Rattus norvegicus: one gene and its partner. The protein of the gene in region 1 interacts with the protein of each later gene in a pairwise test. Links are inferred from orthologs where the notes say so. Each region holds a gene or a part of one and is shown on either strand. Other genes may lie near its edges.

What was found. The genes of interacting proteins can lie anywhere in the genome.
Region 2: the proteins of Hsd17b14 (region 1) and Cdkn2d interact in binary tests that used the Homo sapiens proteins (3 or more experiments, as listed by UniProt). The two-hybrid records come from large-scale screens. The link is inferred for Rattus norvegicus from reciprocal best matches to the Homo sapiens genes HSD17B14 and CDKN2D.

What each region holds. Positions count from the first base shown.
Region 1 is NC_086019.1:105,161,080-105,171,664, forward strand, and holds the start of Hsd17b14 (17-beta-hydroxysteroid dehydrogenase 14), read left to right. Parts: upstream 1-4,615; 5' UTR 4,616-4,681; coding exon 4,682-4,769; exon of another isoform or gene 4,770-5,565; coding exon 5,566-5,604; intron 5,605-5,721; coding exon 5,722-5,804; intron 5,805-6,732; coding exon 6,733-6,799; intron 6,800-8,189; coding exon 8,190-8,281; exon of another isoform or gene 8,282-10,585. Other genes in the region: Plekha4 (pleckstrin homology domain-containing family A member 4), read left to right, coding at 1-148, 3,147-3,196, 3,546-3,658, 3,758-4,020. UniProt on the Homo sapiens protein: Catalyzes the NAD(+)-dependent oxidation of L-fucose, yielding L-fucono-1,5-lactone, which rapidly converts spontaneously to L-fucone-1,4-lactone. Can also act on D-arabinose and L-galactose, with lower catalytic efficiency. Does not use NADPH.
Region 2 is NC_086026.1:28,105,786-28,116,323, reverse strand, and holds Cdkn2d (cyclin-dependent kinase 4 inhibitor D), read left to right. Parts: upstream 1-5,514; 5' UTR 5,515-5,701; coding exon 5,702-5,842; intron 5,843-5,984; exon of another isoform or gene 5,985-7,182; intron 7,183-7,410; coding exon 7,411-7,770; 3' UTR 7,771-8,280; downstream 8,281-10,538. Other genes in the region: Ap1m2 (AP-1 complex subunit mu-2), read left to right, coding at 558-633, 1,163-1,185; protein KRI1 homolog, read left to right, coding at 8,783-8,876, 8,968-9,041, 10,038-10,143. UniProt on the Homo sapiens protein: Interacts strongly with CDK4 and CDK6 and inhibits them.

The DNA.
Region 1 (10,585 bases):
GCCTAGGATGAGCGCTCAGGAGCAGCTGGAGCGCATGCGTAGAAACCAAGCATGTGGGCTCTCTCTTCCTCGCCCTACCTCCCCAAGGCTCCTGACCCTGGGAAGGACACTATCCCCAGTTCCACGCCAGCCTGACATGGAGCAGAGGGTGAGGAGAGTGGGGTCTTGGGTTGGGGAGCACGATGGGAGGGGATGTTCTGCCTGCTTGCGCTCGCTCTCTCTCTCTCTCTCTCTCTCTCTCTCTCTCTCTCTCTCTCTCTCTCTTTCTTTTTGAGGCCAGGTTTCATGTATCCCAGGCTAGCCCTGACCTAGCTACAGAGTCAAGGCTGGGCTTGGACTCCGGATCTTCCAGAAGGACTGTGTCGTGATTACAAGCTTGTCTCTCACCTGGTTTAAACAGTGCTGGTGGGTGGGACCTAGAGCTTTGCGCATGCCTGGCAAGCTCTCTATTCTTCAGCCTCAGCCCCAATCCCTGCCCTCCTTTCTGAAATGGAATTGTGTCCCACTTCCTTGTTGCAAACTTATGTCCGCTGGCCCTGTTCCTCCTGCAGTTACGGGACAGAATTAGGCAAGGAGGTATTGTGTGAGAAACTTTTCCTGAGGAGATACAGCACACTACGGACTACAAAAATGATTGCGCCCAAGTCCACCTTGGCGAACCAGTGAGGTTTTTGGGGAGTCACTAACAGGGCTCTGTGTGAGAGGTTACTTCCAGGGATGACCTAAAAGTAGCTGCACCACCAAGAAGCCCTTCCTGGGATGAGTGGCAGCTCATGGAGGCTGCGGTGGTGTAGCTGTCTGCAGAACTGCAGCTCAGTGGTTCGGAGAGAGCCCTCTGTAGCTTGGCCTGTCAGTCCATTCTTGCAGCTGTGTTTGCTGCTTCCGCAGTGTTCAGTGGGGGAAGTCTGTGTTTCGCCTCAGTCTCAGGCTTCTCCCCTCTCTTCCAGGAATGTTTCCGTTCGGCCACCAACCAGGAGGGAACAGGCATCTCCCTGTTTCCCGTTGGAACTTAGGCTTTCTTAGTTGTACTTGAAAGAGGCCGTGCCTCCCTGAAGCTCTCTCTTCCAAGCTCCCCGTCGAACCTGCTTTGCCAAACGAAAGCCTGAGATCTAGGGGGGAGGGGGGGGGAGACAGACAGACTGAATATGTATATAAAACCTTTCCTGACCACACCCTCTTCTCCAGCTAGGCCCTGCTTCCTAACGGCACAGTGACCTGTGAACTCTTGTTGTAATGACATCAGAGAGAGGGCTGCCTGGTCCTGGAGGAAGCTGACATTAATTGTTAGGCTGGACAATTGTTCCCCTGCACAAGTTGGGAAACCCGAATTGCCCTCCTCTCCCCCAACCCCACCCATGCAGAGAAAACTCCGGGCTAACATATCCTCACTTCTCCTTGCCACGTTTCTGGCCACACACCCACGAGCGCCCGCCCAGGGGCTCAGTTTTTGACCATGTATGGGCACAATCCCAGCTCCAAGCTGGCACGTCTCACTCCTTGCCTAAGCTCTATAAAACTCCCATTGCTTTAACCTGGATGTGTGATGTCACTGACCTTCACCGTGAGGTCGCTGAACCCATCCCCAGAGCTGCCTCCTCATAAACCTGCCTTTGCCTACTTTTTTTTTTTAAAGATTTATTTATTTATTTATTTATTTATTTATTTATTTATTTATTTATTTGTTATGAGTACACTGTAGCTGCCTTCAGACACACCGGAAGAGGGCATCGGGTCCCATTACAGATGGTTGTGAGCCACCATGTGGTTTCTGGGATTTGAACTCACTTTGCCTGCTTTTAATCTGGTCTAATCTGGCCTGTATCCACATGACTGAGGGAGAGAAAACGTCTATTAATAACCTCATCAATGAAGTTGATAGGGAAAGAGCCTCGAGGCCATGTGTGGACCTAACCATGGTGGGGCCTTAGAGGGAAGGCAAGACTTCATTAAGAGAGAGAGAAAGGGAGGGAGAGAGGCACCCTGAGAGGAATGACGGGAGGCTGGCCAGAGGAGCCCTTCCGAGAGCAGCCTCAGAGCACCTCTCAGAGTGGGTCCCATTGAGGAATCTCAGACTCTTTTTTTTTTTTTTCCCCAACAAAGCAAAGGTCTGACATGTTATGGCTGTGGAGAGCCTATGGAAAATTTCAGATGGAAAATTTCAGATTGGGCAGAGTGATTTAGATCCGTGTAGCCCATGTGACAAGGAGGATGGGGAAGCCAGGTACCATGCGTTGTAAGCTGTCAAGACACTGCACTGACTACTGAATCATGAACTTCAGGGAGACGTAGCCTGACTCAGACCTGGGAGTCAGGCCTAATAGTCCAGGCCAGTGTCCTGTCACTCACCTGTTGGTTAATTCATTGGTCAGACAAACACCGTCACAGTCCAGTCACATCTCGGCAGCATCAAGGGCTGGCGACCAAACCTTGTGACACATAAACCTTTGGGAGATATTTATATCCAAGTCAGAGAAGCCTTTGTAGGGAAGTAGACAACAAGCTGTAGACGTGGACTTGACTTTGCGAGCCTGATGTTCTCCAAGGCTACTTCACTCCCAGTCCCCCTAACATCACCATAAACATAAGTAGGAGGCCAGTGGAGCTGCTGCCCAGCTCCTGATACTGAGGAGACGGAGGCCATCTGCACCCATATAACGAGTCAGAAGGCAATCTGAATGTCATAAGAACCTGGCTGGGAGCAGTGGGGGGACCCAGGAGGTGCTCAGGGATAGGCTTGGGGGTTTCAGAACCCATGTATAAAGACTCGGCTGTCAGTGAATGTCTGTGATCCCCAAGGCACTGAGTCAGAGAATGGAGATAGTGAATCCCTGGAAGCTCAGGGGTCAGCTAGTCTGGCCGACTTGCTGAGAGCAGAGGATTGGTGGGGGGCACTTCCTGTTGTCCTCTGAACTTCCTAGTATCTGCATGTAGGTTGGTGGGGAGAAGGGGGCCAAGGAGAAAGGGATGGAGAGAAAACGGGCTTCAATGGCAAAATCTATCCTCCCCACCCATAGCCCCTTTCTTTCTTTTCTTGCCCTCTCCCTTCCTTTCCCTACCCCGCTCTCCTCTGTTCTTTCCATCAAGGCTGCCCTTGAACTTGTGACCATTCTCCATGACAAGAATTGTAACCAATAATTCCTTTCCAGCCTATTGTAGGAGCTGCGAAATGGCTCAGGAGTTCCGGGTCATGGAGTAGGTATGGATCTAGAGTGGGAGCTGCAATGGGGTGGGGGGGTCAATTCTTGATGCAGACAGGGGAGCAGTGGTGTTATTATAGTTTCCTGTGTACCAAACAAGTCCCCAGAACTTCTGAGTCCCTTGAGTTCCCGAGGTAACTACAAAAAAGCCAGGAAGCCCCTGGTGGTGGGTCAGAGACTGCAGAGCTCTTGTGGCCTGAATCAGATCCAGCTGTTCATCCAGTAATGGTGACCTCCCTGCTGGTCTACTGGTAACAAAGCCTGTGCTTAACGTCCTCTAGATAAAAGCTAGGAAGAACTCCCCGGGAGCCTCGGTGGCCTGTTTGACACGTGGCTTATTTTCTGTAGTCCTAGGCACTCCACAACCTACTCACCCGTGTCTGGAGGCCACCGGGAACGAGTGCTCAGCCTCTCCCAAGCTCTTGCTACAGAGGCTTCCCAGTGGCACAGGCTGATGACAGGTGAGGTGCCCAGGCTCTGAACCCCCGCATCTGAGGAAGGAGGCCTGGAAGTTTGGACTTTACACGTTTAAGTTAACACTTTTCTCATTCTCCGTTTAGCCTCTCCAGAGAGAAATTTGGACACCAGGGGAGACTGTCTCCAGCCAAGTCCACAGCCTCCCAGTGAAGAGCTGCCCCAGGTCACCTCGTCCCCAACTTCTCACAAGGCTAACTCGGCTACCACAGGGTTCTCATGCCAAGGGAGTGGGAGAGGCCTGGCTCCGTGGGAGCCCAGGTGGGACCCTGGGAAGGCCCCTCCAGCTCTGGCCCAGGAAGAGGGGGCATGGCCCCTGAGAGTCACTCTGCTGCAGTCCAGCTTTTGACTCCTGCCTTTGCACTGGGTGCTAAAGGCTGGAAGCACAACCTTGAGGTGTGGGACCATTCAGGACCACAGGGGAGAGGTTCATTTCAGCCTGTGTTCTAGGAGGGCCGGGGCTATGATGGTCAAAGATTGATTATCCCAACACTGTCCGAACTTGGATTAAAACTTTGAACTAGTCAATAAATAGCTTTATTCTCTCTGTGGTTGTGACATTGTGTTCTGACAAACAAGCGTCAGGGCCTTGGATTCACAGGACATTGGGGGGCTACATCTTAAAATATGGGTCTGAGGGAGGAGGTTGGAGTCTGGATCCTGAGTCAAGGCAGAAGTGGTGCTGGTCTTACAAGTCAAAGGGAGCAGGGCTAGAGTCAGTCTGAGGGGGCAGAGCTGGGGTGGGGGTCCCTGAGCCTGGAAGAGGAGTGTCAGGATGGGGATCCCTGGGTCTGAAGGAGGATCATCACGGGTGGGGACCCTGGGTCTGAGAAAGAGGGCTAGGAAGGAGAGTCCTCAGTTCTCCTAGGTGTGCCTTCCTGGGAACTCCCCCTGCCAGGGTCAGCCTTCAGTGACCCAGCCTGTATATCTGGTTCCACTCCCCCGCTTCTCTGGACTTTAAAGGTGGGAAGAGGCCCAGAGGGTGTGGGACACGAGCGAGATAGCTGGGAATGGCTGCAGTAGGCCGATATTCTGGGAAGGTGGTGGTGGTGACTGGGGGCAGTCGGGGCATCGGGGCTGCGATCGTGAGAGCCTTCGGTGAGTAAGGGTCTTCCCGCCTGCTGCCTGAATTGTAGGAGAGAAAGAGCGGCTGGCAGAGGCTCCCACAGTGGGAGGAGGAGACTCAGGTTCATTTCTTTAATGATTTGTTTGTTTTTAATTTTCTCTGTGCGTTGTCGTTGTACCTGGGTGAGGTTGTCAGATCCCTCCTAACCGGAGTTATAAACAGTTGTGAGCTGCCATGTGGACGGTGGGAACTGAACCTGTGTCCTTTGGAAAAGCAGCCAGTGCTCTTAACCGCTGAGCCATTTCTCTGGTCCCTCCGTTTCATTCTTACATGAATCCATTTGGATTGTTGGGTCTTTGTTGATAGGTCGGTCATTAAAAGTTCTTCCACTGGCCTGGCAGTGGTGGTATATGCCTACAATCCCAGCACTTGGGAGGCAGAGGCAGGTGGATCTCTGAGTTTGAGGCCAGCCAGGAGAGTGAGTTCCAGGACAGCCAGGGCTACACAGAGCAACTCTATCTCAAAAATCCAAAAAAAAAAAAAAAAAAAAAAAAAAGTTCTTCCCCAGATGGGTCCCTAGCTGCAAATGATAGCTTTGTGTGTTTTATTGTTTGTAGGTTTTGGATTTTTCTAGAATCCAGGATGGGGGCCAAGCAGTGGCTTAATGAGGAAGGGTAATTTGTTGCTCTTGTGAGTGGAGACAATCTTGTGAGAGAGACAATCACGAGAGCCGCCAGAGAGGCAGGTGCTCTGGTGGCCACAAGAGGGCAGCAGAGGCAGTGACGCAAGTCTGCAGGGCAGGTAACATCGTTCTCTTTCTGTTGGCAGTGGACAGTGGGGCTCAAGTGGTTTTCTGTGACAAGGATGGTGAGTGAATCAGTGTTCATCTCTCCCTTGCCTCATCAATGATCTCTGCATAGCTCTCCTCCCTCAGACCCACATTCCTAAGCCTCCTCCCTCGGACCCAGAATCTTTCTCTTGCAGAGGCTGGGGGCCGGGCTGTGGAGCAGGAACTCTTGGGCACTGTCTTCATCCCCGGTGACGTGACTCAGGAAGGAGATTTACAGGTCAGTGTTTTCTGTCCCACACTCCATCGCCAGTCCCTCTGGGTATCCATGCCCTTGTCACCTCCGTCCTTCTGCCCTCTTCTCTCTCAGGTCTTTAGGAATGATCAGGACTTGAACTCTTGGCTCCTGTAACAAGTTTCTGACTTCCTGGCACTCAGAATCTCTTATGTGTTTCCAGGTCTAGCTCCTATCTGGGCCTCTGTCTTTCTTTGTCTCTCTGCTCCCCACTGCACTCGGGTCTGTAGACTCTCCTTCTGAGGCTCTGTCTTCTGCACACACACCCCTCCGAAGTCTTCTAAAATGGTGTGCTGGTTAGTGTTAAATCGACTGGACACAAGCTAGAGTCATTGGGAAGAGGGAATCTCACTAGAAAATGGCCCCACCAAATTGGCATGTGGGCAAGCCTGTTGGTCACTTAATTAATTAGTGGTTGATGTGGGAGTTTCCCCAGCTCCCTGGGGGTTGTGACATTGCAGGGCAGGTGGTCCTGGATAGTCTAAGAAAAGGGGCTGGACGAGGCATGGGAACAAGCCAGCGAACAGTGTTCGTCCACAGCCTCTGCTTCAGTCCCAGCCTTGAGCTTCTGCTCTGAGTCCCTGTCCTGGCTTCCCTCAGTGATAGATATGACCTGGGAGCTGTAGGCAGACATTAATCATCTCCTCTCCAGGTTGCTTTTGGTCATGGTGCTTATCACAGCAATAGGAACGCTGTGACAAGTGGCAACTGTGCTGTGTGGATCAGTCCTTTTAGTCTGGGTCCTCGACTTCCTGCATCCTCCTCTCTTTCTAGACCTATTCTGTGGCCCTGGTCCCCTTCCACCTCACCCTACCCTGTCTTCCTTAGCTGAGCCCATCCTTGCCTTGGGCCTCCTGGCTTTTCCAAGGCTGTCACCTCTCAGCTCATCACCTGCTCTTTCTTCTCTCCTCAGACTCTGATTTCTGAGACTGTCTCTCGATTTGGTCACCTGGATTGTGTGGTGAATAATGCCGGCTACCGTAAGTTGTGTGGTTTGGAGGCCAGTGTCCCTGACATCTACTTATACCCTCTTCCCCATTCCTCTCTTAAAAATTATTGCCCTATCTATCTATCTATCTATCTATCTATCTATCTATCTATTATCTATCTATTATTTATCTATCTGTCTATCTATTATCTATCTGTCTATCGATGTGCATGTGTGTAAGCGTGTGCTTGCACAAGCACTCGCACTCTCATGCACAGTAAGTACTTCTCTGGTGTTCAGTGCAACAAGAGGGAATCAGTTCTCTCCTTCGGCCATGTGGGATTGAGTTCAGGTTATCAGGCTTGGCACAAGTGTAAAGGTACAGTTGAGCCATTTCAACAGCCCAATCCTTCCTCTGAACCTCAGTTTACCCCTTCCTCAGGACACATAGCCCTCTGCCTCCCGCGTGCGCGCACATGTGTGTGTGTGTGTGTGTGTGTGTGTGTTTACACTTGCATGTATGTCTGTTCTCCCCTTGCATGACTGGTGCCCACAGAGACCAGAAGGAGTTGGATCCCCTGCAACTGGAGTTACAGGCAGTTCTGAGCCACCATGTGGGTGCTGGGAGTTGAACCTAGTTCTCTGGACCAGCAGCCATGCTCTAAACCACTGAACCATCTCTCTGCAGCCTTCCTTAACACAGAGCTCAGCCCGGCCTCAGTCTCACTTTCTTTGCTGTGTGCTTGTCACAGGAGGTTATACTGTCCTTCACGATAGTCCCAGAGCCTGGGGGAGCTCCTGCCTTGCTGATGGCTGGTGGCCCTGGGCCTTGTTGGTGACAAGGACAACCCAGACACGCTTTATCAGACACTAGGTAGTGTGGCACTCTGGGAAATTTTCATCAGCCCAACAGCTGCACCAGAGAACAATGTGTCCCCATGGCAACAAGGGCTCAGGGAACACCCACCGGGGCCCTCTTGAATATCTTCCAAAGTTGGGGTCAGAGGACTGTCCCCGGCCAGCTGGGCTCCCAGTCTTAGCTGCTTTACTTCACATCACAGTAAGGACTCAGGGTTGCTGGTCGCTCATCCTTACCTGGGTCCTTCTTTCCTTAGGCTGATGTTGACAACACCTACCAAATTCCCTTGTGGGGAGTGGTATCTAAGCAGGGAAATTCGCATTCCACAGTGAGGAGAACAGAGACCAGCTGAGGTCTGGCTGCAGAGCACTTACCCACAATCCCCCATGAGCCCTAGAATGACAGGCACTGGCTAGCTTACCCCGTTCTGCAGTCAGCATTCAGCTGCACTCAGCACTGTGTGGCCGCCATCCTTAGCTTTCTCCCTCACCCTTGGCCTCCTCTCCGACCCCATCGTCCCTGCCCTCCCTCCCTTCCTCCCTCCCACCTTCCTGCCCCGGCCTCATCCTCTTCTTCTCTTTAGACCCACCTGCACAGTTGCCAGAGGAGACCTCTGCCCAGGGCTTCCGCCAGCTGCTGGAGGAGAACCTCCTGGGGGCATACACCTTGATCAAGGTGAGACAGGCAGAGCTGCAGTTGCTGTGTGCCCTTCAGTTCATCCGGAGCACATCGCTTTGTGCCCCTTGGCTTCCTGTCCTTATTACAGTATAGCGGTTCTCAATCCGAGGTTCAATTTCCCTTTGGGAATTGAAGATCCCTTCACAGGGCTTGCCTAAGACAACCGGAAAGCATGGTTATCTACGCTGAGATCCATACCTGCAGTTGTGAAGTAGCGACAGAGATAAGTTTATGGTTGGGGGTGGGGGTCACCACCACGACAGGAGGGTGGCAGCATCAGGAAGGTGGAGAATCAGGATCTAGAAGGACACTGCCAGTCTTCATCCACCTGGGAAGTTACACCCTCCTCGCAATCTTCCAGAGCTTTCCAGCCTGCTTGGAGGTAGCAAAGAGGATGCTAAGAGAATCCAAAGTGAACTAGGCTGTGGTGGCACAGGCCTTTAACCCCAGCACTCAGGAGGCAGGCAGATCTCTGAGTCCCAGGCTAGCTTGGTCTACAGAGAGAGTTTCGGGACAACCAGGGTCACGCAGAGAAACCCTGCCTTAAAAAAAAAAAAAAAAGAAAAAGGAAGAAAGAACCGGAAGTCGTGGCTAGGGCTCAGCAGGATGCAGCTGGAGTTCCAGCACTAAGTAAGCATGATGGTGCAACCTGTGATCCCGGCACTCAGGAAGTGGAGGGAGATCAGGAGCTCAAGGTCAACCTTGGCTACACAGAGAGAAAGGAAAGGAAGCCGGTGTGACGGTCATGGCTTATGAGACAGACAGAATAGTTGCTGCTGCCAATAGGTGTGCATGTGTGGATTGGGTGGAGATGGTATTACAGTGTCTAAAGGAACAATAGAGAGCTGAGGAAGATGGTTGAGCAAGAAAGTGATGGGAGCTTCCTAATCATATTCTAGAATGTTCCATGCTGCACTCACTGACCAGCCTCTCCCTAGAAGTTCAGCCCCATGAAAATAGACATCTTTCCCTCTGACTTGTTTCTGTCAGCAATAGGAACCATGGAGTTTGGATGGGGGGGGCTCACTCCTTAAATCCCAGCACTTGGGCTTGTCTAGGAATGCGATTGCTGACCACTCTGGCTGTGTCCCTAGCATGTACAAGGTCCTTAGAAAAGGATGCTGAGGCAGTGAAGGAGGGGGTTCTCCTCAGCAGATTGGTACAGTGAATGCCCTGGGGGTGAGGGTGGGGACACAGAGATCTTTCATGTGCCTGTTTTCTACCTCAGGAAGACAGTGAAGTAGATGCTCATAAGTGGGAATCAAGAGAGAATCTGCTGGTTGGAATGGCCCGAGTGTCCCCTACCTGAAGGGCTGGAAGCTCATTCAGTTGGTCGAAGTGCTGGCTGTGTGAGCTTGAGTTTGGAACCCCAGCGTCTGTGCTTGTAATCTCAGCCAGCGCTGGAAAAGCAGGGACTGGTGGGTTCCAGTAGCTGACTCGACAGTCAGCCTACGAGAGTCGATGGGCTTCAGAGAGTCAGTGAGAGACCTTATCTTTAAGAAGCAGACAGGCTGGACTGATGGCCCACCTGTTGAGAGCATTGGCTGCTCTTTTTTTTTTTTTTTTTGTTCTTTTTTTTCCGGAGCTGTGGACCGAACCCAGGGCCTTGCGCTTCCTAGGTAAGCGCTCTACCACTGAGCTAAATCCCCAGCCCCAGCATTGGCTGCTCTTTAGGAGGAACCGGGTTCAAGTCCCAGAATCCTAGTTTCTGGGGAATCTGATGCCCTCTTCTACCCTGCACAGGCACTGCACACATGTGGTTCACAGACAGACATGCAAGGAAAACACTGGTGCACATAAACTAACATAAAGATATGAAGGCAAGTAAGCAAGAACAGAACAAAACAGAGTGAGAAGTAGATAAACGACCAAGTAATAAATAAGACAGGACAGACAGCTGGGGTAGGTGGTAAAAGCTGGGGCCCTCTGGAGCTGCCTAGAGGCACACAGGGAGACTGTCAGCCAGGGACATATCCCAGAAAGGGGCGGGGGAGAGGGGCAAATATTTATTGAGTGAGAGCTCTGCACCTGGTACAGGGAAGAGAATAGCCAAGGAAGATATCAGAGCCTATGAGGGACTGCCATTATGGAAGGTGGCAAGGACATGAGGCCAGGTGGCATTAGGTAGAGGGTGGGAACGGGGCTCCAGGGTGTAAGGAAGGCTGTGTGTGAAGCGGGAAAGGGTGAGCCCATCCCCTGAGGAGAGCAGAGGGCCTCCCTCCCTTACAGGGCTGGGTTCAGAGACTTCACAGCCCTCTGAACCTCTCATGGGTTTATGGCTTTTGACCTCCTGAGATCCAG
Region 2 (10,538 bases), on another chromosome or scaffold:
TGCCTCTTCTGTTCTCAGGCTGGCACTTTGCCCTCTCCCCACTCACATCTACATGTGCCACCGTCCCTGCCACTGCCCCTGCTTTCCCTGCTCTCAGAGAGAGTATCCTTTGTTTTCTTGACCTTCTCCCCAACCCTCTTCTGTATTCTCCAGTCTGCTCCTTCCCCTATGGGCCTGGATCACTTCTTCACCCATATTGAGCTCAGACTCCCAGTTAGCATCATCCTAAAGCATGCCCTATATATTTTCTTTTTTTTCGGAGCTGGGGACCAAACCCAGGGCCTTGCGCTTGCTAGGCAAGTGTTCTACCACTGAGCTAAATCCCCAACCCCTATCTTTTCTTGACATAAGCCACCACTTTTCCTTCTGACTCTGTTCAACTCATCCTCCCAATACCTTCCCCCACAAATACTGGAGATTGAACCCAGGGACTGACACATGCTAGGCAGGGGCTCTACCTCTGAGTCTACCCCAAGTACTCACAGGGGACTCTAGAAGGGAGTTTCCTGCTAAGACACATCCCTCTTCCTTGGCTGATCCTCTTTATGATCTTCCAGGTCCGTTACATGAAGATCATCGAGAAAAGCGGGTACCAGGCCCTGCCCTGGGTCCGCTACATCACCCAGAGTGGTGGTAAGGTGTTGGGGCTCTCTGGGACAGTGGGGGTGAGGAGGTAGGGGGTGTAGGGACTTTCATGCCGTGTTGGGGCAGTTCTAAATTGTAGCATGGCTAGCACCAAACCTGTCCTCACCATGCTTCCACATATTTAAAATGGAGTGGTCGGCCCGCTGCAGCAAAATGTTATACTTAGCACGTTCAGATGCTGCCTGGGTGCGGGCATGCTTACCAGGTGGAGGAGTCCGTGTGGCACCCATCCTGATCTAAGCAAAACTTTCTTTTGTGTATGTGAGAGTAAGGCTAGAAACCAGGGCTTTACGCACGGTTAAGTAGGAGCTCTAACATCCAGCCACATCTGGAATTCTAGGCAGTAGTTCTACTTTTGAGCCACGTCCCAAGCCTACAAGCCCTAGTAAGCATTGTGAAGTATTTCCAGGGGTGATTCTGTGTCGGGACCCAGGATAGATTTTTGTGGGTGTTGGAACTCTCTCCTCCTTTTCCCTCTCAGCTCTCAGATGGTCCCTGCTCTTTTTTTTCCCTGCAGATTATCAACTTCGGACCAGCTAGAAGGGAGAAGTGAGGCTTCCATCACCCCAGATACCAGCCGCAGACTTTAAAGAGCTGTGTGTGTGTGTGTGTGTGTGTGTGTGTGTGTGTGTCTGCACATTCAGGGTTAGGCACTGACTTAACACATCCTGGCTGCCTGCACCTAACCCCCTTCACCTCTCAACTGTCTGGGGTGGTTTCTCTGTGTCCCTCGCCCCTGGAGCTGTCCCACACTGATTTTATATGAAGAAATATAAGAGGGCCTGGACCGCGCTACCCCTCCCCCACGAGTGCCTTCTTGCAGTGAACTGCCGGGCAGATCTAGGGCCCACCTTTTATAGCTGCTGAGCCGAGGCCGCTGGCCCTCCACCTGGGTTTTAGGGTGTCATTAAAATGAGTCTAACAACTGTGACTGTGCTTCTTCACTAGGGACTGGGAATGACTGGAAGGGCTCGTGTGGGAGCATCCATTGGTTGCTTGTCAATCTTTTCTGTTCAGGTTCCTCCACAGCCCTCCCTTGTTCCCTGTCACTGTCTGATCCTCTTTGCAGCCGTGGCAGTTGCTATAAAATCTATCAGTCCATCATTGCCCTGCTTAATCCTGGTGGCCATAAAAATTTATGCAGTTCCAGGTCTGTCTACTCCACTGCACTACCCCTGCCTACCTTCCTGCCCTCCCAGGCTCCCGTTCTGTACTGCACTCAATACTTTCGAGCCTCAGGCCCTTTGTACATGCAGCAACTGCCTATTTTATAGTGTCTTTCTTTCGTTCTGATTTTTATTTCTTAAGATAGGGCTTGGCTGTCCTTTAACTTTCAGCCTTCCTCTGGCCTCTGCCTTCCACACGTAGGTGGGTGGCAGGCATGAGGCCCATGACCAGCTGTGTTCTCCAGTTTTGCTTTTAGTTGTGAGACAAGGTCTCTTGTAACCCAGGCTGGTTTCAGGCTTCACCAGTAGCAATGAAGCCTCTGCTTCTAAGAGCTGGGATTACTGACATGCACAACATCTCCAACTTTGTCTGGCTTCAGGAAAATATTTTAAATATTTTCCTCTGTGTGTGTGTGTGTGTGTGTGTGTGTGTGTGTGTGTGTGTGTATACCTATATGTGGGTGTGCAGAGGTCTGTGTTGGCGTCCGCAGAGGCCAGAGGCTTCAGATTCTCCTGGAACTGCAGTCACAGGCAGCTGTATGCTGCCTGGTGTGGGTGCTAGGATCCAAGCTTGAGTCCTATGGAAGAGCAATATGTCTTTTAATGAATAAGGCTTGTCTTCTGTCATGTTTTAGTTTTACTTTTTTTTCTCTCTTTTTTTTTTTTTTTTCTTTTCGGAGCTGGGGACCGAACCCAGGGCCTTGCGCTTGTTAGGCAAGCGCTCTACCACTGAGCTAAATCCCCAACCCCTTTTTACTTTTTTTTTTTTTTTTTTTTTTTTTTGGTTCTTTTTTTTCCGGAGCTGGGGACCGAACCCAGGGCCTTGTGCTTCCTAGGTAAGCGCTCTACCACTGAGCTAAATCCCCAGCCCCCTTTTTTTTTTTTTTTTTTTTAAAGACACAGATCCTTACTGTGTAGTCCTGATTGTCCTGGAACTTACAATGTAGACCAGACTGGCCTTGAACTCCACCTGCCTCTGCCTCTGAATGCTGGGATTAAAGATGTCTACCACCACACTTGGGATTATATTTGAGAGTTTTGAAAACTGGCCATTTAGCCCAGGCTGGCCTACAACTTCATTCTCCTGCCTCAGACTCCTGAGTGTCAAGATTACAGGGTTTAATGGCCCTCTTTGTCACCTCCACATCATTAACTACTCTGAAAAAAATTCACTGACATCTTCTGGTCTGACTGTGGGTGTCTGATGGGTTCAGTGTATAGCCATCTCGGGAGCTGCATGTGTGGGCTGAAAGAACAAGGCCATTTCAGGACCTTCTCAGTGAAACTCACCTCCCAGAACCACATGACACACCTGGTCAGGCCAACTCTGTTCAACAAGAACTGCTTAACCTGAGAAAGACCATGATTCTTTTCTCAGCGACTAAAATTACTAGGTTTAGTCTATTTTTGGAGGAAGGGATCATTTTTGTTTTCTAGTCAGAAAGTCTCTGTGTAGCCCTGACCATGCTGGAACTCACTCTGTAGATCAGGCTTGCATTCAACTCAAAGATTTGTCTGCCTCTGCCTCCTTACTTCTGGGGTTAAAGCATGCACCAACCCCCTCCTCCCCACTCCAGGGAGCTTTAGCTTATTTATTTATTTATTTATTTATTTATTTATTTTTTGGTTCTTTTTTTCGGAGCTGGGGACCGAACCCAGGGCCTTGCGCTTCCTAGACAAGCGCTCTACCACTGAGCTAAATCCCCAACCCCTTTAGTCTATTTTTGTGTGTGGTATTTACTGTCCAAGAAAGGTGGACCTGATGGCACAGACCTGTAATCCCAGCACTCAAGAGATAAAGGCAGCATGATCGGGAGTTTGAGATTAGTCTGGATTTAGTGAATTCGATACCAGCCTAGGCCATAAAAGACCTTGTCTCAATAAAAAAAAGTTATAGATCAGTTAGGAGAGTGATTTCATCAAGTCCATGATGCCCTGGGTTCCATGTCCAGCGCTACGTGGACTGTGGCTATAGTAGCACTTGGAAGTGGCATTCAAGAGGCTCAGGTGTCATGCTTGGCTACATGCAGATTTGGAGGCCAGCCTGGGCTACATGAAACCCTTTAAAAAAAAAAAAAGACTTTAAAAGAAAATTACCAGGCTGGAAAGATGATGTGGTTCAACAGTTAAGAGCACTGGCTGCTTGCTCTTCCAAAGGACCTGGGTTTAATTCCCAGCACTAACATGGCAGCTCACAACTATCTGAGGTACTGGTTTTAGATATGACACCCTGACACAAACATGCATGCAGGCAAAATACCAATGCACATACAAGATAAAAAGGAAAAAAGAAAACTGCCAGATTTAATGGTACACACCTTTGATCCCATGGCTTTGGGAGGCAAAGGCAGGCAGATGAACAGCCTGGCCAACATAGTGAGTTCCAGGACAGTCAGAGCTACATAGTAAGACCCTATCTTGAAAAAACTTAGAGGGCTCGAGAAATGGCTCAGAGGTTAATAGCAGTGACTACTCTTCCAGAGATCCTGCGTTCAATTCCCTACAACCACATGGTGGCTCACAACCATCTGTAATGGGATCTGATGCCCCTTTCTGGTGTGTCTGAAGACACAGATAGTGTCTTTTATATATATATGAGTATATATAATAAATAAATCTTTAAAAAACGTAGAGAAAAAATTTAAAAGAGAATTATTAGAATATGTGGGTGTTTGTCTATATATGCACCATGTTGGTATAGGTCAGAAGAGGTTGTTGGATCCCTAGAGCTGGAGTTAATGATGGCTAAGCTGTCACGTGGTATGGGTGCTGAAACTGAATCCTTGATCCTCTACAAGAGAAGCCACTGATCCGTCTTTCAGTCTGTAAGATTCTTTCTCAAAAAATTAAAATAAAATAATAGAAGAGACCAGCTTGGTAGCCCATTCCTTTAATTCCATCACGAATAGCAGACACAGGTGAATAGTCCAGACAGAGCTACACGGTGAGCTCCAATCAAGGCTACACAGACAGAACCTGTCACAGAAACATAAAATAAACAAACAAAAATGTTAGAAGGCGCGCACTTTACCGCCCAGAAGCCATTCCTTCAACACAGCAGTCGAATGAATGAACTAAGCTCCCGGTCGCACAGTAAGTGCTTTTTAGGACTTCCGTGGTACATGAATGAATAGAATGTTCCAGTAGTAGGAGTTTCCAGTCTTGCCTCCCTCCCTCCCTCCCTCCCGGAGGCGCTAAAGATCCAGGATCCGCCTGCGCCAGCCTGTCTCCAAACTCTCTGCTGGAGTCAGTTAAACCTCCCTCTCTTTCCCGCCTGCCCGCCTGTTGGTTTTGAAAAACCAAAAACCCAGCTGTGGCGGGCAGCTCCACCGGTTGCCGCTCGCTGACCAATCAGGAGCCGCACCACCCCTACGGGTGAGGCAAACCTCCCCGGCAACGCATGCTGATTGGCTGATATTCCCAGTAGGCGGAACTTCTGGAGGTCGGGCGCTGGGCAAAGCGGCTCGCGCTACTCTGTTGCGAGTTTGTAAGAAAACAAGGGCGCTCTGGGCGGGGCCTGGGGCGGGCTTGCCTCGCCCACTAGCGGCTGACTCTAGCAGGCTGTGTGTAGCGCCGGCTCAGAGCCGACCCCGCCCGCGCAAGGAGAGGGAGGGTGAGTCTGGGGAGACCCGGCCCAAGGGGCGGGCGCCGAAGGGCTGGGCGGGGTTCCCTGAAGCCTCTCTGGGTGACAGGGGGAGGAGTTGCCTGCCAGAGCGAGGGTCGTACAGGCAGAAGGCGCCGGGTCTGCGGCCGGGGAATAACCATAGAGTTGGCCTTGGTGGCACCGCAACCCCTGAGAACCGAAATCTGATCCAGCCCTTGCTGGTCCCCAGCCCTGACCTGAACTGGGCTTGGGGCTGGGTGGGTTTCACAGACCACCGGTAGCCACTATGCTTCTGGAAGAAGTCAGCGTCGGCGACCGGTTGAGTGGCGCAGCGGCCCGTGGCGACGTGCAAGAGGTGCGCCGCCTTCTGCACCGGGAGCTGGTGCATCCTGACGCCCTGAACCGCTTTGGCAAGACGGCCTTGCAGGTGAGGCCTGGCTGGCACCCGGCTTCCACACCCCATCCCTCCAAGTCTCCTGGCCCGGGTTGGTGATCCCCTAAGGTCTAATCCTTGCTTGAACCAATGTTGGGTGGGTGGTGAGGGCGGGATGGGGGAGGGGATGGCGTTTCAGCTCTAAAGAATTCCTTGTCTAATAGCCTGGAAGATTCCGTTTCTCTGCAGACCTTTATTCCGTGGGTGAGTTGGGGTTCAGCTTCTTTTCGTGCGCGTCCTTGAGGACAGCTCATATTTCTCGAGGTTTCTAAGACATTCGATCTCTGGAAGGTGGCATGCATGTCTTCTTCAGGGGAGATAGCCATTTTTTGGGTTTTTTTTTTTTTTTTTTTTGGAGTTGTCCTCTTGAAGTGTCTTTGGTTATTTCGGGGAGACTTCATTTCAGCAGATGATATGGTTTTGTTTTTTTCCTTTTTGTATTTTCTGCGTGCCTCGTGACAAAAAATGATTCCTTATTGCTTGAAGGCGCCATAATTCTGATGACATTTATAGGGGAGTCCTACCTTTTCATGGGTACTCACACATTCTGAAGATCATGCCTATGACTTAGGAAGTCATTCCACGACAACGGGGATTCAAATTGGCTAGAGCATCTAGCTTCTCAAAAATTCTATGTAGTTCCCAGAATATGGGGTTGTAGTGTGGAAGGGGCTTATAGTCTTAATGATCGCCCATATGGGAGTGCTGGGTCCCTGAAAGAGGCTTTGGACCTTTCCCGGTTCCCTCTCCCGTTCGTTCATTCTCTTTGCTTCTTCATTTTTCTTTCCTTTCTTTTCCTTTTTTTTTTTTTCCTGAGACAAAGTCTCACTCTGCATTTCAGACTGGCTTTGAACTTGTATCCTCCTGCCTGGTCCTCCAAGGTTCTGGGATTATGATAATGTGTCACTACACCTGGCCCTTTAAAGATTTCATGAGAGTCACTTTTTTTTTTCCGGGGCTGGGGACCAAACCCAGGACCTTGCGCTTCCTAGGCAAGCGCTCTACCACTGAGCCATATCCCCAACCCCGCCATGAGAGTCACTTTTATAGTTAGCGATTTTTGTGTTCTTAAGAGAACTTTGAGCTGCACAGAGGTGGCACAGGCCTTCTTTAATCCCAGCATTCAGGAGGCAGATGCAGGTGGATCTCTGTGAGTTTGAGGCCAACCTGGTCTAGAGAGAGAGTTTCCAGGACAGCCAGAAGGAAACCCTGTTTCTGGTGGGAGTGGGGGTGGGGCTTTGGAGGTGGATGGGGGTCCTTATTTTCTTTTTTTTTTTTTTTTTGGTTCTTTTTTTCGGAGCTGGGGACCGAACCCAGGGCCTTGTGCTTCCTAGGTAAGCGCTCTACCACTGAGCTAAATCCCCAGCCCCGGGGGTCCTTATTTTCAAAGAACCTGTTCTCTGGGGTCCCAGTCTGATCCCTTGGGGCCTGACTTTCCTGGAGTGTCCCTGTTCACTAAAGGATCCCTTCTCTGGCACTCTGGATTTCTGGTAGACCTCTTTATTCTACCTGACCCTTCTCCAGTGGGAACCTCCTGACTTTCTGTCCCTCATTCCCCATAGGTCATGATGTTTGGAAGTCCAGCAGTTGCTCTGGAACTCCTGAAGCAAGGCGCCAGCCCCAACGTCCAAGATGCCTCTGGTACCAGTCCAGTGCATGATGCCGCGCGCACTGGGTTCCTGGACACCCTGAAGGTTCTGGTGGAGCATGGTGCTGACGTCAACACCCTGGACAGCACCGGGTCTCTCCCCATCCACCTGGCCATCCGAGAGGGCCATAGCTCTGTGGTCAGCTTCCTAGCTCCTGAATCTGATCTCCATCACAAGGACGCCTCAGGCCTCACTCCCCTGGAGTTGGCTCGGCAGAGAGGGGCTCAGAACCTCATGGACATTCTGCAGTCGCACATGATGATCCCAATGTGACCCGGGCCACAGTCTCCCACCTTGCTGGGTTACTTGTCAACAAAGGAGGAAAGAAACTTTCTCTTTTCACTCCTGTCCATTGAAGAAGGGAGTGGGAGGAGCAGTTTGTGGTTTGTTGGTGTTGATTTCTTGAGTGTGTGTGTTTGGGGGTTGTTTCTCATTTGTTTTTCTCACCCCTTTTTGGTGTGTTGGACAAAGAAGGGGCTCCTACAGGCACCAGCCACCTAAACGGTTCAGTTTCCTCTGCACTGGGGCTGCACAGAAGACCTCAGGGCAGGGGCTTAAAGCTCTAGCCTCAAGTGAGGTCATCACCTCCTGGGCTCCTGGGAGCTGGTGACCTTGGTGCTCAGAGAGCCCTGAAGTGTGAGCCATCTACTTTGGTCATGGGAGGGGGAGGGGAAACATTTAAAATCAGTTAAAAGGATAACATGAGTTTTTTGTTTTTTTTTTTTCATGGAAGGTTTCCAGTTTTGTTGTACAGTTTGAAATATATATATTTATTGCTTTATGGAAAGAAATTGTTTTGTGTGATCATTTTATGTTTTGGCTCATTAAACTAAGACGGCGAGGATGACTTCAGATTTAGGAGTCTGGGATGGGGTATTCGGAGGGTAGGATGAGACTAGGGATGGTGTGGGGTGATGGGGCAACACGGTCATTCCCAGGGCGTCAGGGTAACTGAGTTGGGTGGGGCAGCGGTCGGGTGCTGTCGGAACGGAAGAGAGACAGGAAACCGCGAGTGGAGAAAGGGGCCCCCAGATGTCAGCTGGGTGCCGGGAGCCGTCAGGGTGGAGAAGGGTGGGCGGTGGCTTGTGGCCTTTCCCCGCAGAGGCTTGTCCGCGTGGGTGTGGCTTGCTGAGCAAAAGGCCAACGGGATCCCGGAAGAGTAGAGGGTGGAGCAAAGTGCGTCTGTAATGGACGTGCTCCTTAAAAGCCCTCAGGGGGCGTATCTAGGGGAGTCACACCCTGCAGGGGGCGGTTGCACGCGTGCGCACTAGGTCTCACAGCCGCCATGCCGGAACCGCGCGCTCCTGCGACTCTAAAGGTGAACGCAGCTTTTGCTGCACGCTACAGCCGTTACCGCGAGCGTGAGGAACTACAGCGGCGTGAGTGAGGGGCGCCTGCGCAGGCCGGGGTGTGGGAACTGGGGGGATGCGTCTGATGACGGCTATGGGGAACTGCATGTGTATTCCACAGTGAAAGATCGCTACGGAGATCGGGACGACGGCAGCGACTCCAGTTCCGAGTCTGACTCCAGCGATGAGCATGTGGTGAGCTTCCGCAGCCAAACTTCGCGTCCTATCTAGATGTGCAAGGGGCTTCCCTAACAGGGCTGGGCTGTCCCGATCCTGCAGGACCCGCCCCCAATGCTTTGAGTGACAGGCAGTACCCTCCTCAACTCAGGGATCTGGAAGAGATTCCAAGCCTCCCAACCACTGAGCTCTCACCTTGATGCACAGGGGTGCCTTACTCTATGGAGATGATCTGGATTTACCTCCTGACCCCTTAAGTGTCAGATAGCCCCTTCCAAACGGTCACTAAATTTACTTACTTTCTTTTCTTGGCCTCCAGTCTTCAACAGCACCCCAATTTAGATACAGTGGGAGTCTGACCCTAACCCTATGTCCTGCATCCAAATCCCTTGAGTGATAAACACCATTTTTCTTGTATCTAGGGATTACTAAATCCTCCCTATTTCCCCAGAAGGACAGAACGTCTTATCTTAGTCACCTATAAAAACATCCATGTCCCCACCTTGATCCATTGGGTAACAATGTCTAGGAGACACCAAGTTCTCACTCCTATCCAGATGTGGCTCCAGACTTCCATCCATTCGTAGAAGAAATCCCCACTAACCCAGTAGAGCCCTAAGGAAATTGTAAGACACTCCCCTATCCCTTGAGTGACAGGTGGTGCCCTCATCACTAGGGATTGTCATGTCCTCTCTGTCTTCACTTCATCCTCCACACTGGATACCTCACCATCCTGATTAGTGGTCACCTAGGAATCATCTCTCCATCCTTAAACCCCAGGAGTTTGACGAGGAAGTACCTACTACCCACACGGGGCTCCACTGTTTTCCTGGCCACACCTGCCCAGACACAGTGCTCCGTATGCCTCTCCTCCTCTGGTGTCCTGTTCTTCTTTCCTTCCCTCCACTCAGTCCTCAGGGTTGCTGGTCTCTGCTGCATCCTGTCCTCACTACCCTACTCACACGGTGTCCAACTTCCTTCTGAAGTTGACCCTACCTCTTTTTCCTGCTCTAGGAATTTGATCCCCAGCAGGAGAGAGACTTTTATAGAACTCTGTCCTTGTTGAAGAAGAAAGACCCTCGAATTTACCAGAAAGATGCTACCTTCTATCAGAGAACAGGTGGGGTGGGCATCTCCCTAAGTGCCTTAGTGTGGATGGAATTGAGTTGTTGAATGAATTGTTGAATTGTTTCCCTTCCCAGAGTGGCAGTGTATAACCCACAATCTTAGCACTCAGGAGGCTGATAGCTCAGGGCTCAGGGCCAGCCTGAGCTATACAATGAGATCCTGTGTCAAAAACCAAAAAGTGAGGCTGGGAATAGGGGTGAGTTGGTAAAGTGGTGGCCACGCAAAGCCGGAAGGCCTGAGCTTCGTTCTGAGAAATCACATGATGGAGTCAGGCATGGACGCACATTGTCAATGCCGGTGCTGGGGAAGACAGGCAGCTCCCTGGAGGCTCTCTGGGGTGGTGAGGCACACCTTTAATCCCAACACTCCAGAGGCAGAGGCAGGTGG